4 linked regions of the Diceros bicornis minor genome follow. The main gene of each other region encodes a partner of the protein of the gene in region 3 in a complex. Links are inferred from orthologs where the notes say so. Each region holds a gene or a part of one and is shown on either strand. Other genes may lie near its edges. The genes, in order: MTA3, MTA2, CDK2AP1 and CHD5.

Region 1 (7,964 bases), on a different chromosome or scaffold from region 3:
TCCTGAGGTCATTCTCTTCATTTGGTGATGGTCTCAAATACTACAGAAGTTTTTAAAATACAAGGTCCTTGGGGTATCCCCAGAAGCAAACCAAGATCTTAAGGCTCATAAGTGAGGAATGTCCTTGGCCAGACCTGGCTTCCCAGGACTTATAACTGGACCAGTCTCCAGATGGTATTTTGGGGGAAAGGTATTAACTAGACAGCCCCAAACATTTTAACACTATGAATTCTCATAAACTACACAAATAACCCTCAAGGTGGTTTGGAGGAAACCAGAGCGTCATTAGAAATCTATGGTCTTGGGCCAGCCCCGTGGCTTAGCGGTTAAGTGCGCGTGCTCCGCTGCTGGCGGCCCGGGCCCGGATGCCGGGCGCACACCGACGCACCGCTTCTCCGGCCATGCTGAGGCCGCGTCTCACATACAGCAACTAGAGGGATGTGCAACTATGACATACAACTATCTACTGGGGCTTTGGGAAAAAAAAGGAGGATTGGCAATAGATGTTAGCCCAGAGCAGGTCCTCCTCAGCAAAAAGAGGAGGATTGGCATGGATGTTAGCTCAGGGCTGATCTTCTTCACAAAAAAAAAAAAAAAAGAAAGAAATCTATGGTCCATGTCATTTATGACCCTTTTTGAGTGCCTCCATTGTAAAAGCTCAGCTACTGCAAACAGTCACAATGCTTCTAATGTCCCGGACACTTGTGATCAGGGACAAACTTTAATGTAAGAGTTTTATTTACTTGGGCCTAAGGTAGAAGTCATTTTATACTAAACTAAAATTGTATTCTTATTGGTCTAGTCCAGAATTTTACAAATTCCCTTTAATAATATTATATTTCCTAGCTTCCTCCTTCTAAAGCTAGAAGAGGAAAAAATTAATTCACTAAAAAGGGAGAAATACAAATTATGACTCTAAATATAAAAAGGGACTGAGTTACAGGAGTGACTTGCTCTGAGAAGCTCTAAGCAATCTGAAGAAATCTACACGTTAAATAACAACATTTAATATCAGAGGTAATTATAAAAAGCAAAAGAATATTCAGAATTCTGCATAACTCTCTCTAATCTGAAATCTCTACTTTCAAAAAGTCTGGGACAGAAAGTAAAATCACTTCTAATGCCCTTTACCCAATTACCCTTCAATGGAAAACAAATATTTTTTAATATTAGAATCAAGAACACTAAGTGTATACCTTGTTGAGTTCTTCTATCCTTCTGATTAGGTATGGGTTGCTGGAGGAATTCTCAAAGTAGACATAATCTGCAATTTAAGGAAGTAAAGAGCTTAATCTTTTCAACAAAAGTTCACATTTGTCAATCTCTGACTTTTTATATTAGGCAATTCTCATTCAAAATGAAGTATGTAATTCATTCCCTGGTAAAAGCAAACTTAGTAATGCAACCTTAAAATATTCTCCTATGTGCCCACTATTCACAGATTCTGGTTTTCCTGGCATTTTCATTTCAATTAATGTTTTATCAAGTTCTCCTAGACTTTTGTCCCACACATGTCATTTCTTTAACAACAAACAAAAAGACACCTCTTATCATCATTGAGTAGTCAGGGCTGACTAAACATGTGTCTTTCATACTGTAACTGCTTCCACATCTTTTCCATCCAATCCAATTTGCCCTGGAGTATGCTTCTCACATAAAACTACTGACCTAAGACAGACTCAGAGCATCTTGAAAGGCTTAGGAGCCCAAAGTACATTTCAATCACCAACTTCGGAAAAAAAAAAAAAAAATCAGGTGACCAGAGCAGGTAAGAGGAAGCACACTGACAAACTTTTCCACAGCTCTATCTAGGAAGACGAGGGGAAAAAAGGGGGAAAGGGGAGTCACTTTCTGAGAGACAGAGCTCTCTAGAAGTGACATCAGAATCTGTTTAATACTCTTTTACCATATTTAATCCAGATCCATTTGGGGTCTTGTTATAAAGAAATCGCTGCAGATTTTCAACAAAAAGGATAAAAATGTTCAAGTGTAGCTTTTCCTCTCATCTAATAGGCTCACTGGAAACTTCCCACTGTGCATTTGAGAGGCTGGGCTGCATTGTTATTGTCTATCTTAGTGGCTCTTTCCCGTCTCTCTTCTGCAAAGTGGCCTCATTTAGCCAGGCCATTCCCACCACCATCCATCAGGAGCTCAGCTAATGAGCAGAGAAGGAAGAGCAAGTCTCACACACAAACACGCCACTTATCTGAATTATTATTCTACCAAGAAAGAGGGAGGAGGGCGTCCTGACTAGGGAGAAAGTTTGTTTGACCTTATTTCTCTCTTCTGCAGAAGGCTGAGAAGAAGGGAGACAGGAGAGCAAACGTCCAGGCAGAGCTCAACTCCCCACCTCCGGCTGCGGTGCCCCGGCCCCACTAAGCCCCATTCTTGGGGGGCTGGATAAGAAACGGAAGAGAGAGTGAGGAAGGAGAGGTGCAGGGCCCTGTCCTCGCAAACAGGCCTGTCCAGCTGTGCCCCTGGCTGGGCCCCCATCGCCCCCACCCCCACCCCACACTCCCACTGAAGGAGAGGAGTACAAGATGGGGGGATGTCCCCCATCCTCTCCAACCCCCACTGCCTAGAAGCCACGCAGGAAAGACCACCCTATTAGGGGGCTCGACGGCCCCTACCCCCATGGGGCTTTCATGGAGGGGGGCGTCTGATAATTCATACCCCCAAGTACAGGCCTGGCCCTAAATCACTGGGCGGGTGTGGGGGTGTGGGTGGGCCAGGCCCCTTGCGGGCCACGGTGGGGGGAAGGGGGCAGGGGGAGGGGGGAGTGCAGGGTGGCGGGGTGGGGAGCCCCGGCCCCCTCTGCGGGCCCCGGCGCCCCCCCTCCCCTGCGCCCTCAGCCTGGGCGCCGTGGCTCCCTGCGGTTAGGGTGAACTCGCCCCAACCCCCCACTCCCAGAGCCCGCTCCCAGACGGGCCGGGTCGGGCCGAGCCTTCCTACCTCCGACCCGGTACATGTTGGCCGCCATGTCCGCCCGCCCGCCCGCGGAGCCCGAGCCGAGCCCCGCCCGCCGCCGCCGCCTCAGCCTCGGCCGCCGCCGCTGCCGCCGCCGCCGCCGCCTCGCCACGTGGGGGAGGGGAGGGAGGGAACGAGGGGAGGGGGAAGTGGAGGGGAGGGGACGGCGAGGGGTGGGGGCAGGTGCCCGCCCCCAGCGCCGGGCTAGCGAGGCCGAGTGGGCCGGGCCCGGGGAAGTCCGAGCGCTGCGGGGCCAGCAGGGAATTGGGGAGGGGGGCGGTTTGGGGGGCCTTGCTGGAAGGGGGGGATCCTAGGGCAAGGGTCCTGGCCGAAGCGGAGGCCCGCGCTCGGAAATGCGGACCAGGGGTATTAGAGAATTGGGTTGGGGGCAAGAGCTCAGCCTCTCCGGAGCCCCTACCGCCCCACCCAGCGTACCCCGACACCTGCCCACCCCGAGACAGGTCTTTCTCCCTGCTTCTGTCCCTGGGGAGACTCAGTATGTGTGACCTTGAGCACGTGAGTGCCTGTCTCGGTGCAAACACTTGGATGCAAATAAGTGCATGCCGCAGGGCGCCTTCCTCGTGGTGATGTTAATACAGTGGGGCCAGGGGGGCCCCAGGTGCTTCCAGCTTCCCCAGGCAGAGACCCAGCTGGGGAGGAGGCTAGAAAAACTGCCTCCCTTTCAAGTCTACCCTAACTGCAGTGCCATGTCTATCAGCGTTCACCCCAAATGGCTGAACAGAACCCGCTCCCCTACAGCTGGAGGCCTTGCCTCTAGACAGGCCCTATATGCAGTGCAGCCCTACTAGGAAAACGGGGTGGGGGGGGTCTTCCTTTGCCCATAGGGGAACAGAGCCCTACAGTTCATCATCACCACCACCCCCCAAAGGAGAAAATAGTGTCAACCAGCTTGCTGTTGATTGCTGGACAGTTAACTTGGTTATGTGCCCAAAGCTTTTAAATAGTTATTATTTTCCCATGCTAATTCTCTAAACAATCCCTGTTTTCTCAGCCTTCATACCCTCACAGAAATAAAAAACCAAATAGAGTTGAATCTTGGCTGGCTGTCCCCCAAATGAACACAAACAACTTTCTTTAGAGAAGCCAATCCGTTTTAAACTACTCCCAGACGTTGTATACTAAACATGAAGATGATCCCTTATTGTTGTTGTGCGTTGTTTGGAGTTTCTGATGATTTACAACTATGTGTTGTTGACACTGGGTGTGGGGTCTGTGCAGGGATGGCAGGTGTCCCTAGAAAAGAAGATTGTATTTTGTTTGTATGGTGATGGCATTTGTGATGGTCCCTTATCACAAATTATTGAGGTGAAAAAAATAATTTTCTATGAAGCTGAGGCAAAGTACAAAATAAAATAAGAAATAAAGCACCTTTGTTTGAATTACCTTGATTGACTGTGTGTGACCCAAATTTCCTCATCCATAAAATGGGGACACTAATTCCACTTCACAGGTGGGGTGAGGATCAGTTGTGACAATATCTCAAAATGCTTTGTAAACCATTCAGCATAGAGCACTATGCAAATAACAGGTGTCTGTTGCTTTTTTTTTTTTAACTCCAGAAAGTTCAGATTCTCAAGGGTTTTATGTCATGTGTCAAATTGTGAGCCTGCATCAGTTAGCTCTTTTGACCCAGAGAAAAAAGCAAAAATGTTCTGTTATGCACACTGCATAGTTGTTGTTTATCATAATCCTTTTACTAGAGATCCCACCAAAAACATATTGTGACATATCTGACATCACTGTCTCCATTTCTGAGTTGACACATAAGTAGGTTGAATAATTCACCTGGAGTCATCAGTAAACTGGCAGCAGTATTGGGATTATAATTCAGCCCTTTCCTCTGGCCTAGAATTCTTTAAACCAGGAAGCCTTTCTCCAAGTGAAAAAGCCACCTGGATACCATAAACTGCAAAGGAATGGATCATAAGCTTTAAGGGGTTTTCCCATTATTTTTAAATATATGAGCAATTTCTTTATTTCAAAATATTTCTGTATTTCTGTTAGTTCCTTGTCTGCCTGTCTCATTTCCCCAGCTTTGTGCACCTTACTAGGTGTTTGTGATGGCTGTACTAACCACAATAAATAGGCAAAAGGTGCCAAGAAAATGCCCCCCATCCCTACCTACCTCCTCCCCTTAGGAACAGCCTCATCCAGAAGCCCCCCATGAAAGGCCTCAGAGACTTGGTGGGGAGGAGCCAGAGGTAATGATGGTGGCAGAACCTGGGGCGCTTTCTTCCTCTAGATTCTGTGTAGTTAGTTAGCCTCTTCCACCTCCAGCTCCTGGGCCAATGTGTTCTACATAGCAGATGCTCAATATCAGAAAGAATAAGTGCCCATGAATGGTGGGCTCAGTATAGTTAGAGAATCAGGTGCAGAGTTAAATGCAAGGACTTTGTTTATGAAACATTTATACCTTCTAAAACCAAAAGGGTATGGAGGGGCCGGCACCGTGGCTTAGCGGTCAAGTGCACGCGCTCTGCTACTGGCAGCCGGGGTTCGGATCCCGGGTACACACTGACGCACCGCCTCTCCAGCCATGCTGAGGCCGCCGTCCCACATACAGCAACTAGAAGGATGTGCAACTATGACATACAGCTATCTGCTGGGGCTTTGGGGAAAAAAAGGAGGATTGGCAATAGATGTTAGCTCAGAGCCGGTCTTCCTAAGCAAAAAGAGGAGGATTGGCATGGATGTTAGCTCAAGGCTGATCTTCCTCACAAAAAAATAAAATAAAATAAAACCAAAGAGGTATGCACATAAGGGAGTTCAGCAAATGTTTGTAGATTGAAAGAAACCCTCCAATCTGACAAGGGAGGGTAGAAAAGCCTGCACCTTCAAAGAAGGCAAAAGCACCTTCATGTCCTTATGCTGTGTGGTTCAGATCACAAAGTTGTTGTCAACCAGCCCAAACTTCACTCTAATTTGGCTATTTAGCTTTAAGACCATGAGCAAGTTACTTAATCCCTCTGAGCCTCAAATTCTACAAAATATGACTAGTGATTGACACCTACAGCAAAGGCTTGTGCTAATAATTAAATATATAAAGTGTTTGCACATGTTAAAAGCTTCATACTTAATAGGTCTCTTCTCTCTATTCCAGCCATCCTCCTTACTAAGGAAGAAGTGTCTCTCAGACCATGTCAGAAATCAGGGCAAATCTAGCCCTCCCGTGGGTAAAATTTCCTGGGATGGCTCTTGTGATTAAAGAACCATGATTAGAGATTGCCTAAAGACCCAGGACGTTCCCTGTGTCAGTCCCACCAGTGTCCCACCATTTAGCTGAAGGGAAGTAGATGCTGCAAGAGAGCTATTGATAAGATAAAAAGTTGGTTTTGTTTCAATTTCAGGATGGAGTTTTTATACATGCAAAAAAAAAAAAAAAGATGGGGCTGGCCACAGAGTCTGGGAGCTTTGTGATATTGAACTCACAAAAGGAGCCTGGGGGTCTAGAATGTAATTAATCTGAAACCAAATGCCAGGCTTTGGATAAGAGACTATAGCTTGTGTTTTCTGTTTTGTTTCTCTCTCTTTTTCTTCTTTCATTAACTTATTTTGTTATTTAGTAAAATTCTTTTGGAAAAGAGCCACAGCGTGTTTCAGCTATTCTAAGGAGGTCATGGGTTTTAAAGGTGGATGAATGTATCCCAGGAGAAAGGTGGGCACGTGACAGCAAGAATCAAAGCAAGGGAGCCCGTAAGGCAAAGGAAATTAAGAGTCAGGAGTTCGTAACTTCCCCAGTTCATGGAGCTTCTTCTTCCCTCCGTCCCCTGGGCTAAAAACATGAAACCTAGGACCAATCCCAGAATGTCCTGGTTTTTACAGTATGTTTTTTAGGATTCCATGGTCCCCTCATGCCCTCATGCTGGCTCAGCCATTTGGTTGCATCCACAAGGAGTTTCCTTTTCTAGTGACAACATAGCCTCCAGATAGTGGAAAAGGGACTGAAAGTCACAAGGGGGACAGGGATGAACCCCTAGAAGGTTGATCTAATTGACATTAGTGCTTCCCTTTTTAGCCTATGGAGTGCTGTGGATTTGAATGAGATGGCCGGGCAGTATAGGGTTTGGGATTAGGAACAAGAATCCTAAGGGGCAATGGGAGATGTTGAAGGGATGACTCAGGCTGCAGCAAAGAGAGTGATTGGAGAGGGTGGAGAATCCAGGCCAGGAGATCAGTTGGGAGGTTGGTTGAGAGGGATGATGGCTTGACTTGGGTAGAGGCAGTGGGGTGTGAGAGAAGTAAATAGATTTGAGAGAGATTTAGTAGGTAGGAGCGACAGGCTCTGGTGACTTTTGGGAGGCATAGAGTGAAAGGGTAGTACCAAGTTATGAGTAACTGGGTGGAGAGAGGTACAATTCAGTAAGAAGAGAATATGGGAGGGGAGGCAAGCTGGGGGAGGAAGGACAGTTGACAGGTTTAGTGTTAGATGGGTTATGTTCAAGGTGCCTTTGGAAACATCCAGGTAAGTATTTCCTCTTTAGGAAAGAGGTAGATGAACAGGCCTGGAGTTTAGGAGAGACATCTGGGCTAGAAGTACCGTCTTCTGTATTACCATCAGCACAGAGCCCAGCCTGTCTTGTGTAAGAAGTATGCCAAACCCTGGCCCCAGGGGAAGAAGCAGGTTCCCTGAGTCCTTCAGCTTGGGCGAAAACAGGTTTAGCAGGTCTGGGTTCAGGAGATCAGAGTCCAGGTCCAAATGTGCAAACAGGAAGGGCATGGGCAGCGAGCCACACAAGTCACTGACCAAGACAGATGGCAAAGACAAGGGGGAATGCCCAGGGCTGACCATCTCCTAAGAGCCAGGGAGTAAAATTCTCAGCAAGTTCTGCTCCCAGCTCTAGAAAAGCAGCCAGAGTGAGGTGGGGGAGGGAAGAGGAAAAGAACAGGAGGAGAAGGGAAGGGACACAGCCTAAAAAACCAAATCTGACTATTTCCTACCTCACCCTCTTGCCTCTAAGATGGTGTAGGGGGTTGAA
Region 2 (6,834 bases), on a different chromosome or scaffold from region 3:
CACTTGTCTCTTTCTTGCCAAACCAGCCTGAGGTCCAGAAAGTCAATAAGATGACAAAATATCACACAAGGTTGTGTTTACCAGTTCCTTTTTTCAGATTTCAGGAGACTCTTTGCTCTTAAACATCACATGCAATCCTAACTATCCCTCACTTTTTATTTGGCTAATAATAGTTTGTGTGGGGGGCTTTCAAGGATAGTACCTCTCAAGCCAGTGCCAACACCTTCCTCCCCAAGGAGCTGCAGCTTGCCCTGAAACCTCAGTGCAAAGGGTTAACCTGGCTGGGCGCCAACCAAAGTGGGAGGGGGCAGAAGAGCCACAGGCCAAGGCTCATTGGTGCATTGTTCCCAACCTCAGGGAGAAGGGGGGTGTGCAGCAGGCTCCACCCCTCACTGTATGCTCCGGAAACCATGTACGAAAGCAAGGGGGACCACACCCCCCACACCCCTTCTGATTGGACAAGGCCAAGGTCAGCCCCTGCCAGATGAGGCTGGAAACCCCAGAGGGCCAGAGAACTTGGTAGGCCCAGCTCCTCATTAACCCCTTCATGCCCAAAGCAGCCTGAAATAAGGAAAATAATTTAGGAAGAAGGAACAAGAGGAAGGGGAAAGAAAAAAGAAACTAAGGAAAACTGAAGGAAATAAATTTTTTAAAAGAACATGAAAGCATAATGAGAAGAAAGATTGGGCAAAGGGAAAACATAAAGATGTAAAATGGAGTAGAAGGGAAAACAGGAGAGATGAGAAACAGGAAAAAGTGCAAGAAAACTTTCCTAGCTTCCTCTTCTCTGCCTTCAATGCATTCTCACTATCTCGTGATCACAAAATAAGCCTGCTTTCCTGTAAAGCAGGCTTCTAGGTACAATCTCTTCCTCTTCACCTTGACCTTCAGTCACCACCCATTGTTCCAACACACCCAAAACTGTCCCCCAAGGGTCCTTCTTCTCTAAAGCTCTTCCTCATCCCCTATTTAAATACTATCATCTCCTTTACACACACCATTCATATATACACACTCACATACAAGCCATATTCTGGCTTTTCTTATCATGGTCTCTCCACTCTGCTTCCAACCCCAACGTGTAAAAACAAGCCTCCCTCCAGGCCTCCCTCCACAGCCCAGGCATTTCCCACCCCCAAACTCACACCCCTGCCTTGGGCATTCTACCAGGGGAAACACCTGCGGGGACATGCCCTGGCCTCAGATCACGGGGAGGGGGAGAAAGGGGGGCCGGGATGGGGTGGGGGTACCAAGACACTCACTGGCATTACTATCAGCCAGGCTGTTGAGGCTACTAGAAATGTCTCTTCGCCGGAAAAGGCACACAACCTTTGCCTCCACATTTCCATTTGCAGTCTAAGGGGGAAAAATGGCAGTGAAAACTGGTCATTTGAAAGTGAAAAGGCACAAAGAGACTAACAACAGTGAATAAGTTTCTAAGGGATGTAAGTAGGAAAACACAAGAAATTATGAATAAGGAGACTTAGATTTAAGGACAGACTTCCATATCCCTTTCCTTAGGCCCCAAGAAATAGAAAAGTAAAGTTCCCACTAAGCTCTCAATAGCCTTTCCTGAATACATCGAATGAATGAATGAATGAATGAATATGAATGGGTACTTAGAATAGGGTCCTCTTTCTTTCTCTCTGTCTCTCTTCCACCCACAGTTAGAGACCTCAGAAGAAAGAGACCACTTGCGGGGGAGGATGAGACTGCTCCACTCACCTTGTTGAGCTCCTCAATCCGTCTAACCAGGTAAGGATTGCTGGAGGAGTTCTCAAAATAGACGTAATCTGTAGGAGGGGGTGGGGAAGAACCGGGAAGATCAGAGGAGGAGATGGGAGAGCCAGAGCACCAGGGGAGGAGGAGAGAAAGTAGGCCTGAGTGGACCAAAAGGCGATGAGAGTCCAGGTAGAGAGGGCGCTGAAATGTGGAAGTGGAGAGTCTAATAAGCGACGCCAGCCCCCGACGCCTAGCCACCTAGTTCTAAAATCAGATCCTTCACTCAAAAATGAGCCTTAATGAACAGACCAGAAGCAGAGGGTTCCCCCTGCAGTCCCCACAACTCGGAGATCGAGTTGCACCCCAGTCTCGGCGAAGCGAGCAATTGTTCCCTCTCGCTCAGCGCCCCCACCTTTGCGACCGAGGCGCACAATAACGCCTGGGGAGAGGAAACCGCCCGGCGGCTCCCCCGCAGGTGGCAGAGCGGTCGCCGGCCCTTCGCGCCCCCTGCCCGCGCTGTCAGCTCCCTCGGAAACACCTTCCCAGCCCCACTCCCCGACCCCGTGGCCCCAGGCGCGGCCCCGCGAGTACCGTCGGGGCGGCCCCAGCCTCTCCGCGAGTCTCGGCGCCCGGCCGCGGCGCCGTCCCCGCACCCTCGCTCCCCGCGCTCCCGGTTCCGGTTCCGGTCCGCGCTCGGGACCACGCCGCCCCAGACGCGGCTCCCGCGCCGCTGGGTGCCGAGCCTCCCCGGTCCCGACCCCGACCTCTCCCGTCCGGGCCCCGCAGCCCCTGCGCCCGGTACTCACCCCCCACCCGGTACATGTTGGCCGCCATGGCCGTTCCCGCCGCCGCCTCCGGCCGCACAAAGGGGTCTGAGCGGCTCGCGGGGACGGGGCTCGGCTGGAGGCGAAGTCCCGACCGCGGGGCTGGCACTTCGCGGAAGTCTCGGTCGGGTCCGCGCAGCCGGCACCTCCGCCGCCTCAGCCGTCGCGGTTCATCCCGGCCCGCGCTGTCGCCGCCGCCGCTACCGCCTCACGCCCCAGACGCCGAGGCCGGCGCCGGTCCGCTCGGCTTCTTCCGGAACGAGCTCGGCTCCCGCCGGACCGGAGCCAGGCTCCGGCTCCCCCCGCCCCCGCCAAGCCCCACCAGACGCTGGGCTCTGCCAGCCCCGGGGAACGCTTGCCCTGCCCGCCTCGGGGTTCGCCTCCTTCCGGAACACTTTCGGCCGAGCCGGAGAACAAGGCCGGGCGCTCGGCTCAGGTCGGAGAGCGAGACCCCACAGATCGGCTACTTCCGGAAGAGGTTCGGCTCCGTCCGGCCAACGGCGGCCCGGCGCTCGGTTATTTCCGTTGCAACTCGGCCCCCCCTCCGAGAGCGAGAGAGGAGTTGGGCTTAACTCTCTCCTCGCCGGAGCCCTGCAGCTCCGCCTGCGGCCCGAAAGACTCGCGCGCCTTTGCGGTTCGCCAAGCTATTTGCAAGCAGCTTTGCCTGTTATTTGCATGAATAGTCTACGCTCTCTTACCCTTTCCGCACTACCCTTTTCCTTCACCGCCACCCCCGTAGGGCCCCAGAGGCGCCCAGCCGCGCCCCACAAAAGGACTGGGAGGTGACTTTGCTTTTGGTTTATTGCCCCTCAGCAGGCGGCGGGAGCCAGGGCCCAGGCTGGGGCTGCCCGGCTCAGCCAGCGGGTCTATACAGTGTGTGCAGGAGTGCCGTTCTCCCCCTCCAGGGAAATGCGCGATCGGGAATGTCTCGAAGTCGAGGAAAGGGTCGGCCCCTGGTCCTGGGGTACTGGGGTGGGGCGGGGCCACGTCGCAGGGCCGGTGGGTCCCGTCAGGCGGCGGTCACACGTCGAGAGAGGAGGCGGGGGACAGGGACGGGGTTCGAGAAGGGGTGGCGGGCGTCGGCCCCGCGCCCCCGGCGCCCAGCACCCGCCACTGGAAGATGCTGGCGTCCTTGCCGCCCAGGGAGACGAGGTGCGAGTCGTCGTGCGTGAACCGGACGCTAGTCACGTGGCTGCCGTGGCCGCCGTACACGAGGCTTGGCGCCTGGGCAGGAGGGAAGGTGGAGTTGCGACGGCCACGGAGCCCCGGGCCCGCCCGCCCGGCCCCGGAGGCCCCGGGAGGCCTCACCTTGGCGCGCGCGCACGGGTATTGGAAGAGGTGCACTTTGCAGAAGTCGTCGGCCACGGCCACCACGCGCTCGTTGTGGGAGCGGCACAGGGAGTTGATGTCGGTGCCATCCGAGCCGTCCGGCCACACGCCTAGCACAGCGCCTTGCCTCAGCCCGGCCTCCTCTCCGCCGCCACCCACGGCCCACAGCTGCACCGTTTCCGGCGCTCAGGCAGCCGCGGGGCCACCCACCGGCCGCGTTTCAGGCAATCCTTCCCGGTTCCTCGGGGCCGGAGGGGCCTCCTGGGCTGGCTCTGCCAGTTTCTCAACCCCCACCCACCCCTCCACACACACCCAGCATTCCGAGCCTGGGGCGCGCTGCACATTGTCCCCCCGCCGTCCCGCAGTGTTCCGCGCCCCTGCACCCCTGCTCACCGTATACGTGGAAGCCCAGCACGCAGGTGTAGGTAGCCCACTCCCGGTCTCGGCTCTCATAGCGATTCCTCAGCAGCTTGCAGCCTCCAGCCACGTCCCCTGGGGAGAGGGAGCCCACCCAGCTGAGCTCTCATCCTGCCCTCAGTTGGGAAGATGCCCAGAAGGAAACACTGGCTTGAGGCGGTGGCATGTGATCTGGTCGCCACGGTAGCCCCCAGCCCAGGGCAAAACCCAGCCCCCCCACGTGCTTCCTGAGTTCTCGCTGATGTTTTCCTAACAGCTTCTGTCAGTTCCTCGTCCATAGATAAGTCAATCCCTCCACACCTGCCCTGAGCAACTTTTCCAAAACAATCTTTTTAGTGCATTTTTCAACTCCCTCAAGTCTTTGTGGGAACAAGACATGGTGTAAACTCTATGTGTGGTTTTTTCTCCAAATCACAAAATTTCTCCTATGTGTATACCTCCAACCCCCCTTCAATGCCATCTCCACCTCCCTATGTAACAGCCCCTCCACCTGGGGCTCCCCACATATTCTCCTTCATCCCCTCCCAACCAGGAGCCCCACACACACACAAATAAAACCCACCCTAATTACCCTCTCCCCATGCCCTCCCCTACTGCCACTCACAGTAAAGGATCTCATAGTCCCCAGAATTGGACATGATGAAATTCCCATCCTTGGACCAGTCAAGGTGAGTGATGAAGCTGGAGTGACCCTGGGAGCAAGGGTCAAGAGACTAAAAGTGTAGCCACCATTTCCCATCCCTCGGCCCCACTTAATGCATTTGACCCCTTTGAGGAGTTTACCTGCTATGGCAATGCCCCACCCTCCACCCCAGCCTCCTCACCACACAGCGGCCAAAGCGGCTGGACTTGGCACCATCACTGGAAACACTATAGATGTAGATCATGTTGTCATGGGAACCGATGGCCAGGTACAACCCATCTACAAAGACAGTCACTCAGAGAGGGAAGGACCAGGGATGGGTCTGGATCCAGGGTAGGGGTGGCTCCCACCTGGGCTGTACCGGACCACTGAGAGCTGCTCATTGCCATCGGTGACATCGGACACGATCTCTCTGGTTTCCGTGTCCAAAACCAGCCACCTAGAAGGGGGGGGGGCGGAGAGCAGGTGTGAGGATACCCGTCCTGGGCAGGGTGGGAGTTGGCAAGTTGGAGAGCCTCAGGGACACCCACAGAAACACCATGATGTAGACAGAGAGGTCACCACTGCATTCTTATGCTGAGAAATGGGAGGGGGCTAAGGGCAGATAAAAGCTGAGGGGCTTCTGATGTCCTCTGGGAAAGGAGTACAGGGGCCCAATGACAAAGTCCTTATGGAGTCTATACGCCTGTCACTTCCCTGTAAGCCTGTTAGTCTCCCCTATGCCCCTCCCATCCCCACTGCTTCTCTATCCTGAGCTGCCACCTCCTCCACTCCCAGGCTTGGAGAGGAGAGTGGCTGGGGGAGGGTGTGATGACAGTTGCCACAGGAGAGCAGGGGAGGCCTGGGCGGCACCGAGAAGCACTGAGGAGCAGGAAGGTGCAGTTGGGGCTCCTGAGCGGGCAGCAATCACGCTCCTCCACCCCGCCATTACCAGGAACCCTTCCCATACCTCCTGCTTTCCCCTCCCAGGGGTCCTGGCTCCCTCTCACCTCCCCGTGTTCAGTCCTACAGCCACAACTGCCCCACTGGGATGGAAGTCAGCACAGAGACCAGTCTCCTGGGAGAGGGGAGAAGGTGAATTCAATAAGATGCCTTTCTAGTGAGGTAACCAAGAGGGACACCTTGTCATCTTGGTAACGTCGAAGCCTCCTCCTCCCAAAGAGGAAACGGGAGGAGAGGGCGAGTAGACCTGGGGTGGAAGCAGGGTGTCAGTGGAGCCTAAACAGGGGGTAATACTCAAAATATTTAACAACCAGAACTGAGGCCCGTAGCTGTGCTGGAGATTACCCATTTGTTGCTGGATCAAGGGGTGGTCTGGAGGGTTGAGGTGGGGGCAGTGCCCAGGGGGCACTGGAGGCATCAGCAAAGAATGAATGTTTTAGCCAGTACAGCCATACCACTACAAACTGGCTGCCTCTGGAGAGCAGAAGGTAAGGGGATGTTGGGGAAGGACTGGTGGCCACAGGAGTCATGGTGGGTGTGGCATTGGGGATCCAGGGACACAGGGCTCTACCTTGAGGTCAATGCTCCAGGCCAGCGCATGGCCCTCCCCATCCCACAGGCAGAGCTGCCGGTCATGGCCGCAGGTAAGGAAACGGTTCTGGAAGGGATGTGTGCAGAGCCCCCAGAGCTCATCCGTGTGGCCCTGTAGCAAAGCGTGGGCTGTCACCTCTGCCCCTCCTCAACAGCTCTACCCTCCCTCCTTCCCCGAGCCCTTGGCCCCCCGACCTGGATCACAGGGGAGAAGCCCTGGGCCAGATCTCCCCTCAGCAACGCATTCTTCGTGGTTCCCACCAGCAGCTCAGAGCCCAGCCCCTCAGCAATGGCCCGCACGGCCCCAAAGTGTTCAGGAATCTGCAGAGTGGTGGCAGAAATTCAGGCCCACTGGCCATTCCTCTT
Region 3 (7,718 bases):
TATCACTGCACTGCACTTCACTGTGTCTGGAAGATTTCACTCCCTGGCAGGAGGTGAGTCCTCCTCCTCTGGTTGCTCTCTTTACTGAGTTCCCGCCTCCCTGACCCGTCTCCTCTCCTATGGGCACAGGCCTGGACTAGGGGCTGGTCTGGCTGAGCCTGACACACCTGGCTGTGAGACCTTAGACAAGGCCCTTCCCTCTCTGGGCCTCAGTTTCTCCATCTGTTTGAGGCAACGTTCCCAGCAGAATGCCCAAAGGCTCCAGATCCTGCTCTTACATGGTGCTGGGGTTAGGTCTTGGGGGGCTAAGGGAGAGGGTCGAGGAATGAGAAATCGCCTGGTTTGGGGTGGGGGAGGAGCTGGGCAACAGCTCAGGCACCTGGGTGACGTGGTGGGAGACCCCGGTTCTGTGCCAGTGCCCATCCGTTACTCTGTGTTGAGAGGGGGGTGTCTGTGGTCCTGGAGAGAGTTGGCAGAAGGGCCCCGAGTTCCACTCGTGCCCACTCCTTCCTGCAGGCACAGGGAGGGCCAGCGGGTCGGGCTGCAGGAGGCCAGGGAGAAAGCCAGACTGGGTGTGAGCATGGCCTTCTTGGAGCATCGCAGACAATGCGTGCAGTGTGCGGGGACCAGGGAGGGCCTGGAGCCGAGGGAGGGATTGGCAGAGGCCAGCAGCTCCTGGGGCCAGGCGCAGCTCCCCGCCCCCACGCCAGACAAAGAGCGGCCTGGGCCTGGGGAGCTGGCGGCCTTCCCGCCACTTGGGGCGCCTGGGGGGGCGCTCTCCGGCAGGGAGGCGGGGGCTTTGTCTAACTCAGCCACTGCCACCGCCGGCCAGGCCGCGGCTTGGCAACCCGTGAGCAGGAGGCAGGGCTGGAGGGCGTGAGGGATGATGACAAGGAAGCCGGAGGAGCGGCTGCGGAGAGTCCATCTTGGATGCAAATGGCAGGGGGAGATCAGGGCTTCCTAAGGGGTCCACGGGGAGGGGGGAAGACCCCCCCAAAAAAACACCAGAGATCTGGGGACCTCAGCACTGCTCCTGGAATTCACCACAGGAGAAAGAAGAAAACCTGTGTACAGGTGCTAGCCAGACTAGAACAGGGCTTCAGGGGTTCTGAGTGGGTGCCCCTGTCACTCTGTGACCCCAATCCCCAAAGGTCCCAGTTTAGGGCTCTTGCCCCAACTATACCAGGGCAGGCCTGCGAGTTCCCCTCTGTCCAGGCAGGCAGCCAGACCTCCACCCCTCCCACCTCAGAGACAGATGCAGGAGGCATCGAGAATCCTACCTGGCCACAAAGCCTGTCTTGGTGAGGTCTGCAGACCCCAGAGGAGGTGGGGACATCAGAGAAAACAGTGGCTGTTTGCTCTTGGGGTTCAGAGCCCACATCTGACCAATTCAACTATCCCCCCATCCGCACCCTGAATCTTAACCCTTCCAATCCCCAAATCTGTGTCCAAGAAGTTAAAAAATATATGTGTGTGTGTGTGTGTGTGTATACACACACACACACACACACACACATATACATATGGCTTTTCTGGGTCCCTCTTCAGATTTTTGGAGTTACGGAGTCAACGTTTGGAGACAAGGCCCCAAACTTGCGGCCAACTGCCAACGTGGCATTTCTGACCAACAAGGCCAATCCCCTCCCCAAGGCCTCTGCCCCCCCCACCCCCAACGCGCCTCACTTTTTTGCAAGTCTGTTTCCAACCAAGTGTCTAAAGGAGAAGGACCCTGGTGAGCAGACAAAGCCGGTTACCCCTGAACTCCACGATTTTACCTCCCCCCCGATGTCTCCCTCGGTCCCTGGGGCAAGCCCCTGGGCACAGCCTGAAGCTGCCGAGCAACTTTTGAAGGAGTTTCCGGAGACCGCCCCGCTCCAGCCCCGAGGGGAGAGGATGGCCCCCCGGCTTCTGCAGGAGGGGGCCTTCTAGGTCCAGACTGGGGGCTCCGCGATGCGGGGCCCGGGCTGAAGTGCAGCCCCCATTCACCGCCCGCAGGCACTCAGAAGCCCCCGGTCTTCTCCAACTGCTTTCACTCTGCGCACGCCTGCGGGGTCCTCCCTTGTGCCCTGTTCTGGGACCCCCGCTCCCGCGCGCCAGGCCGAGCCCCACGGACGAGCCAGTGCCCTGCACCGCCGGTGACCCCAGCCACCCCGCGCCCTCAGGAGCCGCTGCACCTGGCACGCCGCCGCCCCCCAGCCCTGCCTACGCGTGCCCTGGTCCTGCACACGTGCACCCCTGCAGCCGGGCCCCCCGCCGGGCCTGCCCCCGGCGCCCCAAGGGCAGCCCGAGCCCCGAGCCCCGCGCCCCGCGCCCCGTGCCCTGCTCCCGGCGCGGCCCGGCTGCTCCCCACTCCCGCCGGCAGGGGCCCTCGCCGAGCCGCCCAAAAGCCGGAGGAAAAAGGAGCAGAGAAAAGCCTCCCCCGCCCTCGCCCGCCGCGCTCCCCGCGAGCCCTCGGCCGCCGGCGTGGGGGGGACGGCGGGGGCCGCCCGCGCCCCGAGCCCCGGCGCTGGCCCCGGCCCACCGCGGCGCGGGGCGCACCCGCGAACTTTGGCGGCGCGGGCGCTGGAATCATGGCGGCGGCGGCGGCGGCCGCGCTGCCCCGGGCCGGGACCCGGTGCCCGCCGCCCCCAGCCGCCGCGGGCCCCCGGGAGCCGGGGCCGGGGCCAGGCGCGCGGGCCTCCAACTTGGCGGCACTTGGGGCGCGGCGCGCGCGGCCCGCGGGGCGCACCCACTCACCGGCGTTGAGGGAGGCGGCGGGCATGTGCGCGGTCAAGTTCGGTTTGTAAGACATCCCCCCGAGCGGCGGGGCGCGCCGGGGCGCAGCGGGGCCAGGCCCGCGAGGGCGGCGGCGGCGGCGAGGCCGGGCGGCGGCGAGGCGGCCCCGGCGTCCGTGCGCCCGTCCGTGCGCCCGCCGAGCTCCCGCGCACTTTTTGTTGTTGACGGCTCGGGCCGCACCGGCAAATATGGCCGTCCCTCACCCTGACACCCGCTGCAGTATATCACCCATACATCGGGCGGGCGCGCGGGCGCAGGGGCGGCCGCAAACTTTGAGCGGAGCCAGCGGGGCCGGCCCGGGCCGGGAGGGGGCGGCCCGGCGCGCCGCGGCCCGGCGTCAGGGGGTGGCTCCGCCCGCGGCCGCGCCCCGCGCCTCCGGGCGCGCTCGGCGCCCGCAACTTGGCAAAGTTTGGGGGGCTGGGGTCCCGGCGGCGCCCGAGGCCCGCGTGGGTCCCTTGCTTCCTCCTCGCTTTCAGCGCCGGGAGATTTGCTATTTTACCGCTTAATTTTTTTTTTTTAATAGCTCGGTAGGATTGCAGAATTACTTTTTTTCCCCTTGATTGTGGGGGCAGGGATGGAAAATTACCTGGAGAAAATGGTGGCGAGTGGTATTTTTAAGCACATAGATCATTCCAGACGCCGAGGTCTGGCTACTCCCCAGAAGAAGAGCAACCAATTCTTGACATTGATTTCAAATAAATTTCATGTCCCTGTCTGTGTTCAGTGGTTTTTAACCCTTTGGGGGCCTAGACTCCCTTGACACTGACAAAAGTGAGGGGCCTCCTCCCCTGCAAAATTCACCCTCGCATCCACATAGTTTTGCATCTTAACTCATTCAAATATTTAAGAAGCGCCTACTGTGTGCCGGCAGGGTTCCAGGCGCTAAGGACACAAGAATGAACTTGGCAAAGTTTCTACTCTCCTGGAGTTGGCATTATAATTTTTAACCCTCCCTCGACCCCACCCCAGCCCATCCTCAGATCTGCCTGAAGCGCAATCATCAAACATTTTGGATTAGATGACTAAGCTTTTGAAGGTACTGCTTCTTGGAGTTCTGCTTAAATAGTAAAGCTCGTCAAACTACAAGATACCCACCCTTTTCTGCCGTTTTTAATTGCCATGCTTTGCAGATGTTTAAATTAGAGACATTCAGACACATCTGGATCTACTGAGGAGGGCGTCAACCTCTCCGCCCAGGAGAGAAGGGATACCACCCATGCCTTCCCTTCCGATGGAAGGTGCAAGTGACACCCCCTCCCCAGCTTAACGAGCACCTCTGGTGATCAGCTTTAGGCTAGCTCAGCCAAGAGTGCCCAGTGAAATTTCATTTCTTGAATAAATTAATGACACCCCTTTCTACCCTGCCTCCAGGGGCCCAATACTCTAGAGCAGCATTGTCCAGCAGAAATATATTACAAGCCACATATGTAATTTAAAGTTTTTTAGTAGTCACATTTTAGAAAGTAAAAAGAAACTGGTGAAATTCATCTTAATAATATATTTTATTTAACAATATATCCAGAACAGTATGATTTCAATATGTAATGAATATAAAGAAATTATTAAGATACTTTATGTTCTTTTTATGGTACTAAGTCTTCAAAACCCAGCGTGTATTTGACACTCACAGCTTACCTTAATTCAGACCAGCCACATGTCACGCGCTCAGTGGCCACAATAGCTAGCAGCTTCCTATTGGACAGTGCAGGGCTACAAGCTACAAGCAGGGGGCTCATAAGACAGACACACCTGGGTACTAATTCTGCCTCCACCACCTGTTAGCTGTTTGACTAGGCCTCTGTTTCCTTGGGGCAAGAATCCAGATCTCAGTGGCCTGCGCTGATCCCTTCTATGAATTTTCCAGGCTATTCTCTTTCAATACTGCATTTTTTACCACATCGCCCATCCCCCTCACTTTAAGTCCCGATTATCACTGAAAAAAATTTTTTCCTTTTGTTTTTAATTGAGATATAATTCCTTTAGCATAAAATTCATCCTTTTAAAGTATACAATTCAGTGGGTTTTAGTATATTCACAGAGTTGTGCAACCACCACCACTATCTAATTCTAGAACATTTCTGTCACCCCAAAAAGAAACTCCATACCCAATAGCAGTCATTTCTCATTCCCCACTACCTGCAGCTTTACGCAACCGCTAATCTACTTTTCTGTCTCTATGTATGTGCATAGTCTGGACATTTCATATAAATGGAATCCTACAATATGTGACCTTTTGTGTCTGGCTTCTTTCACTCAGCATAATGTTTTCAAGGTTCATCCATGTTGTAGCATGTATCAGTACTTCATTCCTTTCTATGGCTGAATCATATTCCACTGTATGGAGAGACCACATTCTGTTTATCCATCTTGATGGACATTTGAGTTGTTTCTATTTTTTGATTATTATGGATAGAGCTGCTATGAACATTTATGTACAAGTTTTTGTGTGAACATGTTTTCAGTTCTTTGTGGTATATACCCAGGAGTGGAATTGCTGGGTCATATGGTAACTCTATGTGTAACTTTTTTTTTTTTTTAATTTTATTTTCCCCCCAAAGCCCCAGTAGATAGTTGTATGTCATAGCTGCACATCCTTCTAGCTGCTGTATGTGGGACGCGGCCTCAGCATGGCCAGAGAAGCGGTGCGTCGGTGCACGCCCGGGATCCGAACCCGGGCCGCCAGCAGTGGAGAGCGCGCACTTAACTGCTAAGCCACGGGGCCGGGCCGGCCCCCTCTATGTGTAACTTTTTGAGGAACTACCAAATTACTTTCCTTCCTGGCTGCACCATTTTGCATTCCCACTAGCAGTGTATAAGAGTTCTAATTTCTTCATATCCTCAGCAAGCCTTTTATTATCTGGCTTTTTTGTTTTAGGCATCCTAGTGGGTGTGAACTGGTTTTGATTTGCCTTTCTTTAATGGATAATGATATTGAGCATCTTTCCATGTGCTTACTGGCAATTTGTATATCTTTTTTGGAGAAATGTCTATTTCAATCCTTTACCCTTTTTTAATTGAATTTTTTTGTTGTTGCTTTTTTTGGTGAGGAAGATTAGCCTGAGCTAACATCCGTTACCAATCCTTCTCTTTTTGCTGAGGAAGATTGGCCCTGGGCTAACATCCATGCCCATCTTCCTCTACTTTATATGGGACGCCACGACAGCATGGCTTGATAAGCAATGCGTCGGTGCGCGCCCGGGATCTGAACCTGCGAACCCCAGGCCGCCAAAGAGAAGCTCGAGAACTTAACCCCTACACCACTGGGCCAGCCTCCTAATTGAGTTTTTTTTTTAACGTTAAGTTGTAAGAGTTCTTTATTCTGGATACTAGTCTGTTCACAGATACATAATTTGCAAATATTTTCTCCCATTCTGAGTTGCCTTTTCATTTTCTTGATAGTGCCCTTTGACACATACAAGTTTTAAATTTTGCTTAAGTTCAACTTTTTTCTTTTGTTTGTTTGTGCTTTTGGTATCATATCTAATCCAAGGTCACGAAGATTTTTACCTGTTTTTTCTTTGAAGAGTTTTTATAGTTTTTGTTCTTACGTTTTGGTCTTTGATCCATTTTTAGTTAATTTTTGTGTATGAGGTGAGGTAGGTCCAAATTCATGCTTTGCATGTGGATATCCAGCTGTCCCAGCACCATTTCTTGAAAAGACTATTCTTGGGGGCCTGCCCGTGGCTTAGCGGTTAAGTGCGCACGCTCTGCTACTGGCAGCCCCGGTTCGGATCCCAGGCACGCACCGACGCACTGCTTCTCTGGCCATGCTGAGGCCGCGTCCCACATACAGCGACTAGAGGGATGTGCAGCTATGACATACAACTATCTACTGGGGCTTGGGGGAGAAAAAGGGGGAAAAAGAAAAAGAAAAAACTATTCTTTCCCCATTGAATGGGTCCCACACCTTTGTTGAAAATCAATTTGATGGTGAATATGAGGGTTTATTCCTGGACTTTCAATTCTATTCCATTGATCTATCTGTCTATCCTTATGCCACAACACACTGCTTTGATTACTGTGGCTTTGTAGTGAGCTTTGAATTCAGAAAGTGTGAGTGCTCCAACTTTTTCTTTTTCAAGATTGTTTTGGTTATTCTGGGTCCCTTGCATCTCCCTATGAGTTTTATGATCAGCTTGTCCATTTTTGCAAAAAAAAAAAAGGCAACTGGAATTTTAATAGAGCTCATATTAAATCTGTGCATCAATTCAGGGAGTATTGCCACCTTAACTGCATGCTGTCTTCCAATCCACAAACGCAGGATGTCTTTCCATTTATTTAGGTCTTATTTCTTTAATTCAACAATGTTTTATAGTTTTCAGTGTAGAAGTCTTATACTTCTTTGGTTAAATTTATTCCCAAGTATTTCATTATTTTTGGTGCAATTGTAAGTAGAATTGTTTTCTTAATTTTTGGATTGTTCATTGTTAGTGTATAGAAATACAACTGATTTTTGTATATTGTCTTATATCCTGCAACTTTCCTGAACTCACTTATTAGCTCTAGTAGTTTTTTTGTGTCTGTACGTAAATTCTTTAGGGCTTTCTGTAGTGAGATCATATTATTTGCAAATAGTTTTACTCTTCCCTCCCAAATGGGATGTCTTTATTCCTCTTTCTCGCCTAACTGCCATGACTGGAGCCTCGAGGACACTGTTGGATAGAACTGGTGAGAGCAGGCATCCTTGTCTTGTTCCTGATCTTAAAGGGGGGAAAGATTTGTTTTTCACCACTATGTTTGATGTAAACTGTGGGCTTTTCATCGATGCCCTTTATGAAGTTGAGGAAGTTCCCCTCCATTCCTCCAGTTTGTTGTTCTAGCATGAAAGAGAGTTGGATTTTGTCAAATGCTTTTTCTGCATCTGTTGAGAAGGTCATGAGTTTTCTCCTTTATTCAACAAATATTTATTGAGAGTCTTCCAAAGTGTCAGGCACTATTCTAGG
Region 4 (7,065 bases), on a different chromosome or scaffold from region 3:
AGGAGGTGGGAGACGGGGCAGAGTGAAAAGAAAGTCGATTTGACAAGTAACGAGTGCAATCTGCTGCAGATTTAAAAATGAGCACGACAGTTCCCAAACACTAGCTCCTCCGCCCGCAAACTGTGATGGTTTGGAACCTGCTGGCTCTAGGTCCAGTCGGGTCACAGCCTCGAACACAGGCCGAGGGCTGCAGAGCGGCTGCAATGGAGAGCTAGGGGGCCAGCTGGCTAGCACTTCAGGAGAGACACAAGGCCTGGGCTGAGGCTGTCATCGTGTCTGGGGGCCAGTGGTGACCTAGAGACTCCTAGCCCTCAGACACTGAGACCACAACCATCTCCTGAGCACCCACGGTACCATGTGCCAGGCACGGCAGGTGACCAAGGGAGTACACTCGAGGGGGAGCCCATCGACACAGAAGTAGGCTGATGGTAATATTCCAGGTAATAGGAAAGGCTGCCAGGAAAATACAGCATTAAGATGGGTCTGAGGGCGACAGGGGTGGGGCCACCCTTGAGCCAGGAGGTCAAGGAGGGCCTCCCCTTGGTGACATTTGAGCTGGGACCTAAACCACAGGAAGGAGGCAGCTGTGAGCGGAGGAAAGAGCAGGTCAGCAGAGGTCACAGCCAGTGCTCAACGGCAGGATGCTTTGGGGGGTTCTAGAAGCAGCAAGGAGGCCAGTGTGGCTGCAGTAGGTGAACAAGGGGGAGTGGGGATGATGAGGGCGGGACAGAGCAGGAGCTCTGCAGTCAATCAAAGCCATGGGGGTCTGGGTCTGATTTACAAAGGTGACCTGGCTGCTGAGTGGAGGCTGGTCATTGAGGACTGGCTGGGAGCCTCTGGAGTGGACCAGCAGAAGGGGACGGTGGCTTGGACCAGGCACATGGAGAGGAGCTGGGAGCTTGAGAAGGCTCAGATCACACTCTGGAGGTGGAGCATCTGGTCTTGCTGAGGATGGGGCTGCAATCCCTAGGCCAGAGTGGCCGGAGCATGGCCCTCCTCTGCAGGGCTTTGGGGGCATTCCTAGAGGCCCTGGGGACAACCTCACCCCTACCCTGCCCTGCCCCGGAGCAATGGGCACAAGCAGGAGGGAGAGGGAGAATGGGTGGTGAGCAGGTGACTTTGACCAAGACCCAAGCCCTCTGGCCCAAACAGGGTGAGTTGGGGGCCCATCAGCCTGGGGGTACTTTCCCTGGCCTCCTCCCCTCCCCACGCTCCACACCCTGACACCACTAGGGAGAGCCAGAGTATGTGGGAAAGAGGGACAGGAGACCCCATCAGGGGGCCGGTGAAGTTCTGGAATAAGCCTGTGAAGGCATGTCCAGTGCCCCTATCGTGCCACAAAGGGGCCGTGCCCAGAGTACCACTGGAAACCACCTGCTGAGGAAGCAGTGAACGGCTTAGGGAGGAGCCAGCCTCCTGGGTGGAAAATAGCCACGGGTTTCCATGCCTGTGCTGGGCCTCTGTGTTCCCTTCCAGGGAAATGGGCCTGATTCCCTGGATCTGGATATGTAAGAGTCAACTATTGTCCAAGCAACCCCACCCACGTGGGGCCGCCTCAGCCCCACTCCCCTCACCCCAGCAGGAGCTTTGCAAAGTTGAAAAGCAGGGTGTCTGAAAAATGGGGTGAGGCCAGGCTCCTGCAGGGCGGCCATCACAGCCTTAAAGCAAGCAACCAAGTTGAAGGGTGGCGGGGAGGAGGCCCTCCTGGGCCTGGCCTCCTGGAGGGAATCCCCTAGCTGGGAAGACCCAGCAGCCTGGGGAGCTGCTGCCCACTGGGTCCTCTCCTTCTCACCTCCTGCACACAAGAGTTGGGATGCCAATTTGTGGAATATTCTCCCCCCTGTGGAAGGCACTCCTGAGACCAGACAGCACACTTCTGGGCCAGGGAGGGCCCCTGGATCTCCCACAAGTCTCTAAGGAGCCCAGGAGGGCCCACAGATTTGGTGCAGGGAAGCTGAGAAGTAACACAGTCCCCCAGAAGGAGGGAGGGAGGCTGGTTGACAGGGTGAGGCCCTGCCCAGCTGTGCCAGGAAGGGAAACGTCCCAAACAAATGGTGAGCAATTAACTAAAGGATGATCCTGCAAGGTTACCCCTGACACACAAGCCCTGTTTACGCTGAATTCTGAGAGGGATGGCAAGGGCAAGGGCGGTGGCCCTGGGCTCAGACCGATAGCCAAAGCGGAGTAGGCTGGGAACGCCACTACCTTGGTCCGTCTCAGGCTGGAGACGGCGGCGGGCGCTAGGGTGTGCCAGCACGACGCCGGCGGCCCAGGCAAAGTGCTTGGGAGCGGCGGTCACAGCACTCAGCGGCCGGGGAAGGGGAGCGGGAGTCCGAGCCCGCGCACCCCGGCCTGTAGCCCTCGTGGGCCCAAGAGAAACCGCCCCAGCCAGGGCCCTCGCCGGGTCCCCAAGCACGGCCCGTCCTCGCCCTGCTCCGGGCCCCACCCAGCACGCCCTGGAGCCGAGATGGGCCAGGGACCGGGGGCCGGGTCCCGCCTGCCCCCGGAAGGCCAAAGGCGCCCGGCGGTAGGGCCACAGCGCGGGGTGCGCGGCGCCAGAAGCCGAGCGCGATTCCCGCCCCCTTCAAGGGCACGAGGGCTGACCCCGGCGGCGCCGCGCCCCCTCCCCGCCCGGGGCGCCCAGCGCAGGCCCCCCCGCGGTCCTCCGCCCGCGCCTGGCCCGCGCCGCGGCCAGGGTGGCCCCGATCGCACCCCGCCTTTGGCCGCCGGCGTGCCGCGCCCTGGCGCTCGCCTACCCCGCGCCCTTGGCTGCGCGGCGCCAGGAGGGCGGCAGCGCAGCCCGGGCGCCCCCTCCCGAACGCTGCCAGTGCCGCTCGCGCGGTCCGGCCCCGGGGTCCCGCCGGTCCCCGCGCCCCCCGCCGCCCCGGCCCGGCACGCAGCCGGCGCCCCGCTCACCTGACATCTCGTCCTCGTTCTCCATCTCGTCCGCAAACAGCCGCGGCAGCTCCTCCTCGGTGCCCAGCGGGCCCCGCATAGCCGGCGCGGGGGGGAGGGGAGGTGGGCGCCCCCCCTCCCGCCGGGCGCGGTGCCAGCCTTAACCCGTGCGCTGCCTGACGGGCGCGCGCGGCGGGCGAGGCGGCCTCGGCGAGAAGATGGCGGCCGCCTGCCCCCCCACCCCCCCAAACCTCCACCCCTCCGTCTCGACCCCCTTCCTCTCGGCCGCCTTTGCCCTGCTCCCCGCAACGCCCGGGCTGCTCCGCCCACCGCGCCCCGCAGCCCGAGTCCCGCAGCCGGCCGGGGGTGGCGGCGGCAGCGCCGGCGGCACGGCGGGGGGGGCGGCACACATGCCCGGATTGTGACGTCCAGTCTGGTTGCTGTGGCAACCCCATCCCATCGTTCCGGCAGTGCGACTAGTTAACAGCAGAGAACAAGTTGGGGGACTAGTCCTGAGCCGCCGGGTGGAGGGTGGGGGACAGGGCGCTCCGGCCGGCGGAGCCGTCGAGGCGCCGGCGCACCCCGGGACCCGACGGCCGAGCAGGCAGCAGGGACTCGGGCGAGCCGGGCCCAGAAGGAGGCGGGGAAACGCAGAGCCTGCCGCCGCCCCCGCCCGGAAGGCGCTCGGCCCAGGGGTCCCCAAGGGCGCGGAGGCGGGGTCCTCGGGGCGGCGAGCAGCTAGCTCCCCACACTCCGCTCACACGCACCGGGACCCTCGCCTCCCCGCACCCGGCTCCGGTCTGAACACGCTTCTAATCACCTTTCGAAAGAGGATTATAAGAAAAATGTGTTCCGCGCTTGAGGAAGGGCTGCTCTGGAGACAGCGGGTCTGATTCCCCCAGAAAAGTCCGTGCAGACTGGCTCCTCCCTCACCCCTTCGCACCCGGCTCCCACCGCCCACGTGCCCTCTTCCAAAACGCCCCTCCAGGCTGGGTCCAGTTTAAACACATCCAGACCCCTGGGGGTGGTGCAGATCTGCGTTCTCTGTGCCCAAAACTCCCGCTCAGAAGCGACACCTGTCGCGGAGCGGGGAGGAGCCGCCGCCAGCCCTCCGTTGTTAAAGGTGAAGATGGAGCCCAGAGCCCTCGGGAGCGAGCCTGGAATTTTAAATGAGCGCCTCCAGTCTCGGCTGCAGCACGTCTTAAAGCTACTCTTAGAACGCAAAAGTTTCAGCGGCCGGCAGGATAGCCAGCGCACTAACCTAGAATAACCTAGAATGGCCAATAAAGGGAGGGTACCCTCACCTCACTGCCTCCAGCCAGACACATTCAAGGGCAGCGGGCTGATCCCCGCGCTGGAGCACCACGTGGCTGCCAGGGACCCGCAGGATCTGCCTGAGTTGGGACGCCAAGAGGAAGCAAGGGGAAGATCTCCCTCCTGTCTAGCACCAATCCCTCAGGTCTTGGCTGAGCACCTGCCCCATCCAGGTGGCGTTCACCAGTACCCATGCCACACTGGTATCGCCAGAAGGGCTCTCCCTTTCCTGAGGCCTTTGGGGAACCAAAAGAGTCACGCCTGCTTGGCCAGGGCCCTCATGCAAGACCTCTTGGGGAGGTTGCCACAACTCAAGCCACAGTGAGTCCAAGGTAATCAGAAGGTGATGGATGGCCTCAAGAGTGCTGGAAAGATGTGTAGCAAATTTTTCCTCCCCCTTCCCATCCAAATGAATTGCCAGCAAGCCCCCAAAAAAACTCCTCTTCATTCATTGCTGGGCAAGAGCAGGTCTGTCCAGCCTCCAGGATCACAGTGCAGGGCGCTGGGAATCTCCTTCATCTCCTGGATCACTTTTAAACTACATTATAGAGAGATGTTGAACCAGCCCAGGGCAGACAGCCTACAAGGGCAAAGGGAGGCGAACTAAGAAAGCAGAGAGCTTCTCGCGTCTAAGGCTGTACTTCACATCACTGGGCTTCTGGCTGAGGGGCCCCAAATCACCGCCACTCTGAGAGGCCTGCATTTTCACCAGCAAGACTGCCTTGCTCTTTCTGGACTTTCTGTCTTCCAAAATGTCAACCATCCAGGAAAAAACTCTAAGTGCCACCAAGCATGCCCACCTCTCAGTTACCAGCCCAGCCCCCAACCCCTCCCAGATGGGGGGATGAGGTCTAGACACTTGCACAGGTGCCCTGTCCCACTCTAGAGAAACTGTGACTTACAGTACTTCCCATCGCCAGAAAGCCCCCCACCACACGCACACACCATTAACCTTGGCTCCAATTCCCAGGGCAAGGCTAAGAAAGGCAAGACATCACTCAAGAAAGAGCAGTTCCAGCTGCTTAATTTGGCAACAAATTAGAGTTGAGATGCTCATCACTCATACTCCTCTCCCCATCCTTGTTCTTGCCGGTGGCTGTGGCCAGGTGACATGACTTACTGACCACAAACGAAACAAAACCAACCCTGGAATGGCAGAAACAAATGGATTTTTGACTAGAAATTTCCACCAGTATTTAAAGGAGAACTGTTAAACTATTAAATGTGCACTTTAATGACAATGGACCCCCAAATGCCTGATGTTGAAAGCAATCCCTAAAAAGATAAAAATTCAACAAACTCTGCAATTCCGAGAACAAGTCTATCATTAAGGTTAGAGTTTTAGGAGACAAGATTCTCATGCTTGCTGAGCACAGACCTTGTAATTTCACCTCAGTGACAATTCAAAATCAAAATATTTTTAAAAAATATATTGGTTATGAAAGCACCAAGGAAAAAAGGGTTTTCCGAGAACAGGGCTGCAATAGCTGGTATCTTCAGCACATACCCCACTCAACTCCGGAATCTGTCACACAGGCACCCCTTAAGTCCTGCCTGAGGCCGGTTCCTTTAGCAATATATCCCAGTGTGGCCACCTGATGGCCCTGACATGACCCTAGGCTTCTGCAGTGAAGTGCTTGTTCCTACACCCCTCCCAGCCAGTGCCCTGGGGTGAAAACTCTGCAGCCTCTCATCGGAGATGGGGGAGACTGTCACTCGCATGGTTGCAGGGTCCTCTGAAATGAAGGGTGAGCGCCCCCTGCCCACCAAGACCTCCCTTGTACTTGAAGCCTGTTTCTCAAAGCAAGGGCCATGCCCCACCTGAATCCAAATCTCTTCCGGTTGCTGGGAATGGGGGGAGGGGCTTCTCAAAAAGGCAGACTCCTGGCCATGGCCCTGAAGCGAAGTACTTGACTTCAATTAAAGCATCTTAGAGGTTCTTTCTGGGAACTGTGGTAGCAGCTAACTCACTCAGCTGGTCAGCGCAGCCTTAACAGTTTTAGGAAGGCCTGAAATAGCCTAGAAAAAAGAATGTGGATTCTCAAATCCTCCCAAATATAGGAAAGATAGGAAAATGTCTGGATTACAAATTCTTAATTTTTCTTCCCTGAGATAAACACCATTATGGCATCATTTAAGAGGCAGCCCTCCACCTGCCTCCTTCCACACCACCTCCTTGCTAAGATGGCAAATCCCCCAAACAGGCCTCTTTCCTACCTTCCTCTCCCTCCAGAAAGAGAAGTGACCTCCACAGCGTATTACCGCAAAGAACAGAGGCCCATTACCGGGATTCAGCCAACACCTCCAGCAGGAGACTACCCAGGTCCTTTTCCCTCGGGGTGGCTTCTGACCCCTGCCAGCCCCGTGTTCTGAGTTTATCGAAAGGCAGGTCTGTCTGCTTGGTCCTGCCAAATCTGTGGTTGTCTCGTCAGGACCCCACATCCTAGGTGTGTGTGCCCCTCACAGGGAGGGGCCAAGCACCGGTCTGCTTCCAGCACTCGATAAGGTGGCGGGGGTCACCAGAAGTCACAAGGACCTGGCAGCAAGAGGAAGGAAATGAAAGCAAGCTGCCAAAGCCAACTTGCAGGCTCTCCTGAGGCTACGAGCGACTTGACCAAGGACCCGTCACCGCTCACTGGGGTCCTGCTCACCCTCCAAGAAATCATGTCCCCTAAAAAGGCTGAGGTCTAAATACCCCAGAACATTCTGTAATTTTGACCCTCTTAAATATTTGATATGATTAAACTCCGCCACTTTCCTCCGTTTCTGACACAAATGTTTCTCAACACCTGTGCTAGGCACCACTGGTGAACAGTTAGGACCTCTTCCTGAAGAGCTAAGAGGATGACATGACTT

What was found.
Region 1: CDK2AP1 (region 3) and MTA3 share a complex: the UniProt entries of both Homo sapiens proteins name them as parts of the nucleosome remodeling and deacetylase (NuRD) repressor complex. The link is inferred for Diceros bicornis minor from reciprocal best matches to the Homo sapiens genes CDK2AP1 and MTA3.
Region 2: CDK2AP1 (region 3) and MTA2 share a complex: the UniProt entries of both Homo sapiens proteins name them as parts of the nucleosome remodeling and deacetylase (NuRD) repressor complex. The link is inferred for Diceros bicornis minor from reciprocal best matches to the Homo sapiens genes CDK2AP1 and MTA2.
Region 4: CDK2AP1 (region 3) and CHD5 share a complex: the UniProt entries of both Homo sapiens proteins name them as parts of the nucleosome remodeling and deacetylase (NuRD) repressor complex. The link is inferred for Diceros bicornis minor from reciprocal best matches to the Homo sapiens genes CDK2AP1 and CHD5.

Annotation. Positions count from the first base shown.
Region 1 is NC_080751.1:42,198,910-42,206,873, forward strand, and holds the start of MTA3 (metastasis-associated protein MTA3), read right to left. Parts: upstream 3,006-7,964; 5' UTR 2,981-3,005; coding exon 2,953-2,980; intron 1,733-2,952; exon of another isoform or gene 1,718-1,732; coding exon of another isoform or gene 1,669-1,717; intron 1,265-1,668; coding exon 1,197-1,264; intron 1-1,196. UniProt on the Homo sapiens protein: Acts as a component of the histone deacetylase NuRD complex which participates in the remodeling of chromatin.
Region 2 is NC_080770.1:10,491,976-10,498,809, reverse strand, and holds the start of MTA2 (metastasis-associated protein MTA2), read right to left. Parts: upstream 3,006-6,834; 5' UTR 2,557-3,005; coding exon 2,529-2,556; intron 1,794-2,528; coding exon 1,726-1,793; intron 1,357-1,725; coding exon 1,263-1,356; intron 1-1,262. Other genes in the region: EML3 (echinoderm microtubule-associated protein-like 3), read right to left, coding at 3,567-3,770, 3,855-3,985, 4,269-4,367, 4,897-4,984, 5,117-5,214, 5,286-5,374, 5,925-5,992, 6,449-6,580 and 1 more. UniProt on the Homo sapiens protein: May function as a transcriptional coregulator. Acts as a component of the histone deacetylase NuRD complex which participates in the remodeling of chromatin.
Region 3 is NC_080774.1:7,096,330-7,104,047, reverse strand, and holds the start of CDK2AP1 (cyclin-dependent kinase 2-associated protein 1), read right to left. Parts: upstream 3,013-7,718; 5' UTR 2,792-3,012; coding exon 2,737-2,791; intron 1-2,736. UniProt on the Homo sapiens protein: Inhibitor of cyclin-dependent kinase CDK2. Also acts as a component of the histone deacetylase NuRD complex which participates in the remodeling of chromatin.
Region 4 is NC_080752.1:26,264,521-26,271,585, forward strand, and holds the start of CHD5 (chromodomain-helicase-DNA-binding protein 5), read right to left. Parts: upstream 3,017-7,065; 5' UTR 2,996-3,016; coding exon 2,917-2,995; intron 1-2,916. UniProt on the Homo sapiens protein: ATP-dependent chromatin-remodeling factor that binds DNA through histones and regulates gene transcription. May specifically recognize and bind trimethylated 'Lys-27' (H3K27me3) and non-methylated 'Lys-4' of histone H3.